2 linked regions of the Arabidopsis thaliana genome follow. The protein of the gene in region 1 interacts with the protein of each later gene in a pairwise test. Each region holds a gene or a part of one and is shown in the gene's direction. Other genes may lie near its edges.

Region 1 (5,272 bases):
CAGAACTTAGCCTGCATTGTAAACCGCATGATCAAGACTAGTTACCGGTACACAGTGTTCCTGACTTCTTCAACGTTGTCCTTATCTGTCAACATTTCACATTTATGTTCATGTACTTGTTAAAAGACCCTAATAAGCTACCTACTTGATGTTGCTACTATAGAGTGAAGCAATTTGGTGTATACCTCCTGCATCAATCATGATACAATAGTGACATTGGAAACCTCTATGGAAAGAGAAAGTGCATGTGCTGCTAAATACTATCCAACTAACCATAAACAAGTTGGAGATAATTCAGCTTATTATAACATATAACTGGTGTTTCACTACGGAACACATGTGCTTAGTTCTACTTATACAACTAACACACACAGAATGCTTATGCAGCCCACATAGAGCTACTTCTTACCTCTCTCTCTTTCTCACTGTAAAATAAAAATGAAGGAATTAAAAATATAGAATAAACATAGTTTTAAACTAATTTGGAAATACATTTGTCTAACATTAAAATAATTTATACCAATAAGTTTATACTTAGTTACTTGCTAAATCAAATAAAGTGATGATTAGTGATTACATATGCCTATGATTACAAACAAGTGTAACTATGATTTATGCTTCGAACCCAATCATTTTGAGACGTTAGAAAGGGGTAATTTGGGGTCTTCAAACTTCCTTCTTGAATTTGTCTATTTTATACTCAAGTCCTCGGATGGGCTGTTCTGAAATCACTATAGTTGCATGTGTGCAATAACCCGGCCCATAAAAATTAATGCCAATTGTATTATTCCATTAGCCCATTAAGTCATCAATCATTACCACTAAATCTGCTATAAGATTAGCTTCTCTACCTCTAAAGTCTAACCAAAAAGAAAGTCGAAGATATCTTCATCGTTTGCATGTAATCTCCTTTACATGACCATGAAGTCCTTCTACCCATTATGTTTTGGGATTGCATTAATTAAGAACAGAATAGCACTCTCCCCAAAAGAATTCTTTGGAGCCGCAATTATTTAAGCAAAACATTGTCCGTGGATGATTCTTTACGAACGGGCCGTGATAGTTGTGCCAAGGAACATCTCTGTGGGAGAATTCAAAGCTAGTAGGATTCAAGCTCAAATGGACTTATTAAGCTAGGTAGAAATAATAGAAAGATTGAAATGAAATCGCTTATAAAAACTTTATTATGATGCAATTAATAGAAAAGAAAAAAGACTTTAACTTGTCAACAAGAATACAATGATTCAAAATTGATATTTTTATAAGGGGTTTGTGCAAAAAAAAATCATAATTAAGTCGCTAATTTTTTCAACTTTACCATTAATCTCTACAAAATACATAATAATCCTATAAAATACAAAATAAGACGCAATATAGCCCTATACATATATTGTAAATGTTTCTATGATCACATACATTTGCTTTTTAAAATTGTGAAAGTAGAGTTGGACTCCTCGTCTCGAAGATTTTAATTTGATATATTATTTATCAAAATTTTAAAAATTTAACTATAACAAAAAAATGAAGCTATATTGCATATTATTTTTGATTTCATACAATTATTTTGCATTTTTTTAGAGATAGATGATAAATTTGTAAAAATTGACGTCTTTGAAAGTTATTTTTGCACAAAATTCCTTTTATAAAGAAAAAGAAAAAAATTTGTTTTGAGACAACTCTTAAGATTACCTTACAATACATTGATATTTAAAAACAAATTTATATGAATCTCTAGTAGCTATCACCCTAGTTACATTGGCTAATGGATTTCTCATAATAGTTTTGGATCCTCTAATAATCTCTAGTTTTGGATCCTCTAATAATCTCTAGTATATGAAGGACGGAATTTCGATCATTGCTCTCAACTTGTTCATCAAAATCTAGCAAAATTGACATTTTCCGTCGAATATCACCCATATAAACTTAACCATAGTGGAAACCTAAAAATTCACCCCCAACTTTTACAAGAAAGTGATCTTTCTCATTCCTTCATTTGAAAGGTTTGACCTTAACGTTTTTGTTGTAGTCGAAGGAGTATCTTTCACAACATTGCTGATCTTAGAACAAATGTAACCCATTATTACCATAAGACTTATTTTTTCTTTTTCAGTTTTGACTTGTGCCTTTATGTTTAAGACACTAGTAGCCACATTTATTACGCTTTTTCACCGCAAAATTTAACACGCACTCTCTTTGTCGATCCCACAAACTCCATCTACCTAACCATGGTTAAAAATCATCAAACCTTGGTTCCCTTGATTAAAATATCCCTAAATCCAAGTCTCTTTATTATTTCATTTAAAATCATAAATTTAGTTTAATACAATTGTCCTTTTTCAAAATATTATTTCTTTATTTGCTTCAGCAACAGTCGTCATAGTCATCATATCATTTTCTTCTTTTCCTCCTCTAAACGAATATTACCAATAAAAAATCAAGTGGAAAATATGTAATATTAAAAAATCTCCAACAGCTTAAGAAGTTAGAACCTTTTTACTTATCTTTATTTCTTCTTCTTCTTCATTTTTCTATTCACATTCTCTGAAACTCATACCATATTTTCAAAGCTCTTAACCCAAAAACCCTAAGTCTTTTTTTTCTTCAAATTATTGGTTATATTAATGTTTTAAGCTATGATGGATATGACTCCTACAATAACAACAACAACAACACCAACTCCTAAATCACCCGAACCCGAATCCGAAACTCCGACCCGGATCCAACCGGCGAAACCCATTTCCTTTAGCAACGGCATCATCAAACGCCACCACCACCACCACCATCCTCTCCTCTTTACTTACAAAGAATGTCTCAAAAACCACGCGGCGGCTTTAGGTGGTCACGCTCTCGACGGTTGCGGCGAATTCATGCCGTCTCCGTCGTCAATCTCCTCCGATCCAACTTCTCTCAAATGTGCTGCTTGTGGCTGCCACCGTAATTTCCACCGCCGTGATCCAGATAACAACAACGACTCTTCCCAAATCCCTCCTCCTCCTTCCACCGCCGTAGAGTATCAACCTCACCACCGTCATCATCCACCACCACCACCACCTCCTCCACCACCACGTAGTCCTAACTCAGCTTCTCCTCCACCAATCTCTTCCTCTTACATGCTCTTATCTCTCTCCGGTACTAATAACAACAACAACAACTTAGCTTCTTTCTCCGATCTTAACTTCTCCGCCGGAAACAACCACCACCACCACCACCAACATACTCTTCACGGATCTCGTAAAAGATTCCGAACAAAATTCAGCCAGTTTCAGAAAGAGAAGATGCATGAATTCGCCGAACGTGTTGGTTGGAAGATGCAAAAACGTGACGAAGACGATGTTCGTGATTTTTGCCGGCAGATCGGAGTTGATAAAAGTGTTCTCAAAGTTTGGATGCATAACAACAAAAACACCTTTAACCGCCGTGATATCGCCGGAAACGAGATCCGGCAAATCGATAACGGCGGAGGAAACCACACTCCGATTCTCGCCGGCGAGATTAATAACCATAACAATGGACACCACGGTGTCGGAGGAGGAGGAGAGCTTCACCAGAGTGTTAGTAGCGGCGGTGGTGGCGGAGGATTTGATAGTGATAGCGGCGGAGCTAACGGTGGTAACGTTAACGGATCATCGTCGTCGTGAAGTTAAAGATGAGAGTGTCAGGTTAATAAGAAGCTTAGAGTAAGCTTATTCGTATTATCATCGTTAATAACTTTCTATTAAATATTAATTAAGATCTTTAGCTTTGTTTGTTTTTGCATTATTATTAGTTTTGATTTAATGTTCTTTACCACGTCGGTGTCTCGCTCGATGAGGAATAATACCATAACAATGTTCGAATTATATCATTTGTTGTAAACATTTCTATTAATGAACCCTGAAATGTGACTAAGTACTCCAATAAATGGTACACTTTTGATGTGGTAATCTTGTTTCGGATGAAGAAACAAAAAGATTAATAAACGAGTGAAACATGATTAGTTACTATAAATATTCATTTGGTTTCTTATCTTTTAAAGTACTCTTCTTAATTTTATTTGCAACCAAACTAGATGTAGTAGGTGTACTTTTTTTCTTTCTTAGATCCTCTTAATTTTATTTTATTTTTTTATTCTATATCAAATGATTAGCCATCATTAGTATATTAGTAGCATTGTTGTTAACACCCAGTGTTTTCACGTCCGACCCGGACCGTCCGGTCCGACCGGTTGAACCGTGACCCGAACACTTTTCCGGTTTGGGTTTAGTATTAAAATCCAACAAGTTCAAAACCGAAAAAACCCACAAAAACTCATCATTAACCCGTGACCCGATGAACCAGTTGAACTGGCCGGATGTGGGTTTTAAAAAATTCTCTTGATTTTGGAATAAAATATGAGATTTTAGACTTTATTCAATCAATTTTTAGATATTTTTCAGTTCTTAAACCCATTTGATGTTTAAGATTTTGATGAAGACTTCACAATGCCGCCTTAAAAAATGAATCGAATGGTGAGTGAGATATCCGATATTAGTTGTGTGAATTCACGATGTTTTATTAGTTTATTTCCATCATTGCTGATTTTTTACTATATTTGTTACGGTATTAGACATTTAGTTGGATTTAAAAAATTTCATCACTTTATTATTATTGTTTGATTATATATTTATATTTTTTTTTGATGTAAATGATTATTTTTGTTTTAAAATTTATAAGAACTCTAAAAACTCTAAAATCTCTATTAATATTAAATTTATTAAATAAATTTTAATCAATTGACCCGTAGTCTAATCTAATTAACCCGATGATCCAATGATCCAAAAGGTAGTCCGATTCACTGGGTTGGTTTTAAAAATATTGTTAACACCATTTCCTCTTTAATCTATGTCATTGTCATGGATTCATTCCGATAACCCATTTTTGGTATATATGCTTAGTTTTGATTATTCTCATTTGAGAAGTACAAACCAGCATATACCTTTTTATACTTAGAGATTGAATTAGTACAATTCATACTAAAGTTTGATATAACTATTATTATATCACATCGTAGCATCCATAAAATCTATACAACTTCTAAATAAGGGTTTAAGGCGTGGCACTAACACAAATGATTGAGTTGATGAATAATTTAACAATAACTTTCCATTTGGGGAAACGTAGGGATGAGTACTGATATGTCGGCTCTCACAATAAAGAATGAGATTAGGATATTATGGGTATCTCCCATACGGGTTTGTTACAATTATTTAAGCAATTCATTACTACTATTTCTTTATTTAATTTATATAACGCA
Region 2 (5,654 bases), on another chromosome or scaffold:
TAGAATTGAATGTGTTTTGATTCTTTTTTGGCAGATGACAACTGCAATTGCTATAGAAGATGTGAGAAGGGAAGTGAAAATTCTACAGGCTTTATCTGGACATAAGAATCTGGTACAATTCTATGATGCATTTGAGGACAATGCAAACGTCTACATTGCAATGGAGTAAGATCATTATTTTATCATAACCTTAACCATTTCCTTGTTTGATGTTGAATTTAGTTAGGTTTTAGTTATGAATTTGGTAAAAAGAACCTATTGTTTCATAATTGGATTTAAGTAGTTTGAATTTGCAGGCTATGTGAAGGTGGTGAGCTTCTTGACAGAATACTAGCAAGGTGTGTGTCTGTGTGCTACTAAAGAGTTATCGATACTTATGGCCAGAGATTGTTCTTATTTTATAAAAAGATTCATCGTTTTTTTCTACAGGGGAGGGAAATACTCAGAGAATGACGCAAAACCAGTGATTATACAAATTCTGAATGTGGTAGCTTTCTGTCATTTCCAAGGAGTTGTTCATCGAGACCTTAAACCAGAGGTGAGGCACAATTTTGAACTGGAAAGAAGATTATGTTTTACTTTTATGTGTAGAATGTTTTCTGATCGCTGCTTCATCATCAGAACTTCTTGTACACTTCCAAGGAGGAGAATTCTCAGCTTAAAGCGATAGACTTTGGCTTATCAGACTTTGTCAGACCAGGTTCATCATCACACATTTTACTATGTCACTATTTCTCCAGTTCTTTTTCTTCTGGTTAGTAAACTAAAAATGGTATTTTGTGCCCCTTTTTTTGAAAGATGAGAGACTAAACGATATAGTGGGAAGTGCATACTATGTAGCTCCCGAAGTTCTACACAGATCATATACAACAGAAGCGGATGTGTGGAGCATCGGAGTCATAGCATACATTCTACTATGTGGTAGCCGTCCGTTTTGGGCAAGAACTGAATCCGGAATTTTTAGAGCTGTTCTTAAAGCTGACCCGAGTTTCGATGAACCTCCTTGGCCCTTCTTGTCTTCTGACGCTAAAGACTTTGTTAAGCGGTTATTGTTTAAGGATCCCCGGCGAAGAATGTCAGCCTCCCAAGCCTTGAGTCAGTCATTTTTAATTTCACAGCTCTTTATAGTTTTATGTCTCCTGTCTTTTGGTAGTCATAAATCACCAAATTCAGTTCCTATTTACTTTTTTCAGTGCATCCTTGGATCCGAGCTTATAATACGGACATGAATATCCCTTTCGATATCTTGATCTTTAGGCAGATGAAGGCGTACTTGCGATCTTCTTCATTACGCAAAGCTGCTTTGAGGGTATGTTTTAGGCATTCTTTTAAAGTGTCGAAAAGAGCATTGAAGATTACTTTCTCACTATTATGTGCTTTCTTTTCACAGGCGCTATCGAAGACGTTAATCAAGGATGAAATTCTTTACCTGAAAACTCAATTTTCTCTTCTCGCACCAAACAAAGATGGCCTAATCACAATGGATACCATTAGAATGGTTTGTGACACTATAACTTCTTTTATATTCCTTCCTCTTGAGAAAAAAAGAGAAACACCGTAGTAATCTAATCTGTATTGCATTTTTTGTTTCTGTTTAAACAGGCACTTGCAAGCAATGCAACAGAAGCAATGAAAGAATCTCGGATCCCAGAGTTTCTTGCTTTGGTAAATGACTGTGTTCTCTCGGATTTTGATAAATGCTTTAACAATTTGGTGTTAATGATCCTTCATTGACTGGCTTTTTACAGCTAAATGGACTTCAATACAGAGGAATGGATTTTGAAGAGTTTTGTGCAGCTGCTATAAACGTTCATCAGCACGAGTCGCTTGATTGTTGGGAACAGAGCATTCGACATGCTTATGAGCTTTTCGACAAGAATGGAAACCGAGCTATTGTCATCGAAGAACTTGCCTCTGTAAGTTAAAGCATCTGTCTTCAGCTTAAATACAAAAATATCGAAAAACAGATCCTCTAAAACGACATGCTTTTGAATTGCAGGAACTTGGTGTTGGACCATCTATACCGGTACATTCAGTTCTACATGATTGGATCAGACACACTGATGGAAAGCTTAGCTTCTTCGGGTTTGTTAAACTGTTACATGGAGTCTCTGTTCGAGCCTCGGGGAAAACTACCCGGTGAAGATAACGAAAACAAACATGACCTAAGCGAAATCGTAAAAGAAGATGTCAAAACCTTTACTCTAAATCTTGGATTGGTATTGGAAATGTAATAGTTGGTCAAAGACTGTACAACAAATGAAAAGTTTCTTACAAGAGCAATTCTAAAAAAAAGATTGTTGTAATAATATAGTAACCACAGATACTTTGATACTCTATGTGAAGTCAAGAAAATGAAAAAGAAAATTCCAAAAAGATTTGATTTTTGTCTCTCTTTCTTCCCAATGATTATGGAATCAGCGAAATCTTGGTTATTTCCGGTTTGTTACTGTGCTTTAATTTGTGAGATCTGAGTCGGTGTAACCAGTGAAAACCGGTTCTAGTGATGGAAATAAATTAGAATTTAGAAAACAAACCAAACCGATTTTCTTCTCCCCCAATTTTATATTTTGCTTCTCCTCTCGAGTTTGGGATTCGAGTTTAAGGAATTAGGGTTTCTAATCTCTCTCTCTTTCTCTCGAGATTTTTCTTCACTTAGTTCTTGATTCTGATTAAAAGTTGATCTTATAGTTCCGGTAACTTCGTTTTCTGGGTTTAATTTTCGATTCAATCTTCATCTCCTTGATCCACAGCCATGACTGAGGTAAATCAAAATTCGCATCTTTTCTCTCCAAATCTCTTTGAATTACGAAACCTCTGTCTTGTTTCGTAATTGAAATTGATCTTGAGTTTGTTTTTTGTGTTATTTCAGTATTGGGTAAGTCAAGGGAACAAATGGTGTGAATTCTGTAAGATATGGATACAGAACAATCCAACAAGTATTAGAAACCATGACCTTGGTAAGCGTCACCGAGAATGTGTTGATAAGAAGCTCACTGATATGCGTGAGAGGAGTGCAGCCAAAGACAAAGAGCTCAAGAAAAACGAAAAACTGCTTCAACAGATCGAAGCTGTGAGTAATCATTCTTGTTTCTTTTGCCAGTGATACTTATTCTAACGTATTTATTTCTGATTCCATTGTTTATATCTCAACTTGTTTCAGAAAGCAACTCGTAGCTATCAGAAAGATATTGCAACTGCTCAGCAAGTAGCTAAAGCAAACGGTGCACCAGAGGATGGTACATCCGGTAAGTATCTCTCTCTATGATGTCATTAGTATTTGTTCTTCGACTTATAGCTGCTATATTCAGGGTTGTTGCTTAGCTTTGGATCTGTTTGTTATAGACTTAACATTACTGAGGTCGTAGAGTATGTGTGAATTGGATTTGTGAATTGCTTTCATTGACCAAAAGTATGAACAAACCAAGCAGCGTCTGATTCTTCGATTGTCATATTACACATCTTTGCAAATGACTTATAAGTTTTAATGCCTATAACCCTATAGAGAATCATCACGAAAGAGCGAAACGGTTGCTTCTTTTGAGTCACTCTCAGGTTCTTTCATCATTTTGATTGCCATTTTTCTTAGCCTTTTTCATTTATACATATACCATGTAGTAACCATATTGTTATGGCAGATTGGATGCTCGACAGTGCTTCAGGCTATTATTACAACCAGACCAATGGTCTGCACTATGATTCACAGTCTGGATTCTATTACAGTGACTCAATAGGTATGTAATATATATCGAGTTTTTTTTATTTGTTTCCTTGCAAACATGATTGTATACAATTTCGTCGTGTGTATGCTTACACGGGTAATGAAACAGGACATTGGGTGACACAAGACGAGGCCTACGCTGCGGTTAAAACATCATCAGGAACCAAAGTACCTCTCGTGAAAAAGCCTGTATCTTCTTCAGGAGCTGGACCAAGTGTGGGGAAACCACCTGGCCGTCTTGTCACAGCTTCTTTAAATCCTAAAAGAGCTGTGAAAGGAGCGGCTTCATCTGTTGATCTTGGCAACAACAAGAGAAAGAGGCAAGATGAGAAACCGAAGAAAGTATCTGCAGAAGAGAAAGCTGCATTGAAGGCAAGAGAAGCTGCTAGGAAACGAGTTGAAGATAGAGAAAAACCATTGCTTGGTCTTTACAATAGACCCTTTTGATGCATCATTGGCTTGATCCTATATGCAAAAGGGAGAGGCTAAGCAGAGAAGAGTGATGATTGATCTCATTGTGGCGGTTATTTCAGTTATTCCTACATGACAGTTTATTCCAAAACTCTCTGGTATTTCTGGGAGCATTGGTCTTGTGTTCTTCTAACTGTTGTTCCAGTCATATCAGTTTCCTCTTTGTTGTACACACCTATTCAATTTTATAGTCAGAATGATGGAAGTCCACATTTTACCCATTTTGATGAAGTTACGAGGTCTTTGCACAACTTTTTTTTTGTGTTCGTCTTAAAAAAAGTTTAGAAAATTAAGTTCTTTTTGGTCTATTCTTCTAAAGTTTATTGGTTGACTTTCATGAATCAGTTTCTGAAATTATGCATAAACTTGTTAAGATGGGAATAAATCGAAACCAAACACTACTCTAAAGAAGTAAAACTATCAAAGCACTGCAAAGTGCACACTAATAAATGATCCAAACGATTTAGGAAATTACTTATTGTGGACCAAGCTCTGACTTTGAGGAAGTCTCAGTAACAAAGACAAATTAACTCAAAAAAAAAACTGAAAATAAAAAATTCAAGTATCAGACGACCCCAAAATTTTGACAGAGACTGAGACAGCAAGATAAGCAAGATTCAAATCCAGGATACAAAACCCTCTTTGGACACTAGAGGTTTTAGTTTCGATGGTGCGAGCTAACCTCTGAACCAACAACTATCATCGGATGGATCACTTTGATCACCCAACGGTTTGTTTTTATCCCAATACCCGTAAGTCCAGGACTCACAGGGTTTCTGATGATAGAGACATACCAACACTTTCAAGAAGCTCCCGGGACTGCAGCCGCTGCAGTAGCGTACATGTTTGAGTCCTGATTGGCATATCCATTGTTGTATCCTTGACCTCTTGAATATCCTCCATTCCATTGGTTGCCAGAGTCACTTCTCCACTGTCATTTTTAGATTTAAAAGTTGAACAAGATTAGTAAATGGATTAAAACATTCAATAGAACATCACGGATAAAAACTACCAAGTTGGTTATTCTTGTAGAGATTACTTTAGCTTGTCCACTGATTACAACTACTAATAGAGAATTAAGACAAACATGAAACATTGAAACTTCGACAACCTCTAAAGATAAACGATAACATCAGTACATGCTTCAACTAGCTCATGAATCTTAATAGCTGTAAATTTTCTCAATCCTAAGAAACACAGAACCATTACTATTATTTCAGAGATTGGATAATTCAGGGAGATGATAAGTGGGCCAAGGTGATATGCATTAGATTTGCCAATAGATATAGTCAACGAAAACCGTGGGAAGGTGGTAAATTCCACTAGGTCTTTATGGCCCGCAATACACCTACTACTATCCATTGTCAACCACTGACTTTGGCTTTAAGGATTTCTATAACTTTATCCACCCCATGAAGACAGAAATATAAAGACCCAAAAGAACTCTAAAGCTAAGTTTGAC

The links. Proteins that work in one complex are often made in the same cells at the same time.
Region 2: the proteins of HB23 (region 1) and AT1G49590 interact in a two-hybrid assay, tested with the Arabidopsis thaliana proteins (one large-scale study listed by BioGRID).

What each region holds. Positions count from the first base shown.
Region 1 is NC_003076.8:15,908,910-15,914,181, forward strand, and holds HB23 (homeobox protein 23), read left to right. Parts: upstream 1-2,440; 5' UTR 2,441-2,633; coding exon 2,634-3,638; 3' UTR 3,639-3,951; downstream 3,952-5,272. UniProt on the Arabidopsis thaliana protein: Putative transcription factor. Probably involved in establishing polarity during leaf development through the gibberellic acid (GA) signaling pathway.
Region 2 is NC_003070.9:18,352,242-18,357,895, forward strand, and holds AT1G49590 (C2H2 and C2HC zinc fingers superfamily protein), read left to right. Parts: upstream 1-2,541; 5' UTR 2,542-2,755; coding exon 2,756-2,764; intron 2,765-2,872; coding exon 2,873-3,073; intron 3,074-3,163; coding exon 3,164-3,248; coding exon of another isoform or gene 3,249-3,268; exon of another isoform or gene 3,269-3,505; coding exon of another isoform or gene 3,506-3,555; intron 3,556-3,638; coding exon 3,639-3,734; intron 3,735-3,830; coding exon 3,831-4,168; 3' UTR 4,169-4,492; downstream 4,493-5,654. Other genes in the region: AT1G49580 (Calcium-dependent protein kinase (CDPK) family protein), read left to right, coding at 35-165, 297-338, 430-538, 622-700, 799-1,095, 1,194-1,309, 1,391-1,498, 1,603-1,665 and 2 more; RBP47A (RNA-binding protein 47A), read right to left, coding at 5,586-5,654. UniProt on the Arabidopsis thaliana protein: Nucleic acid-binding protein that promotes Pol IV-dependent small interfering RNA (siRNA) accumulation, DNA methylation and transcriptional silencing.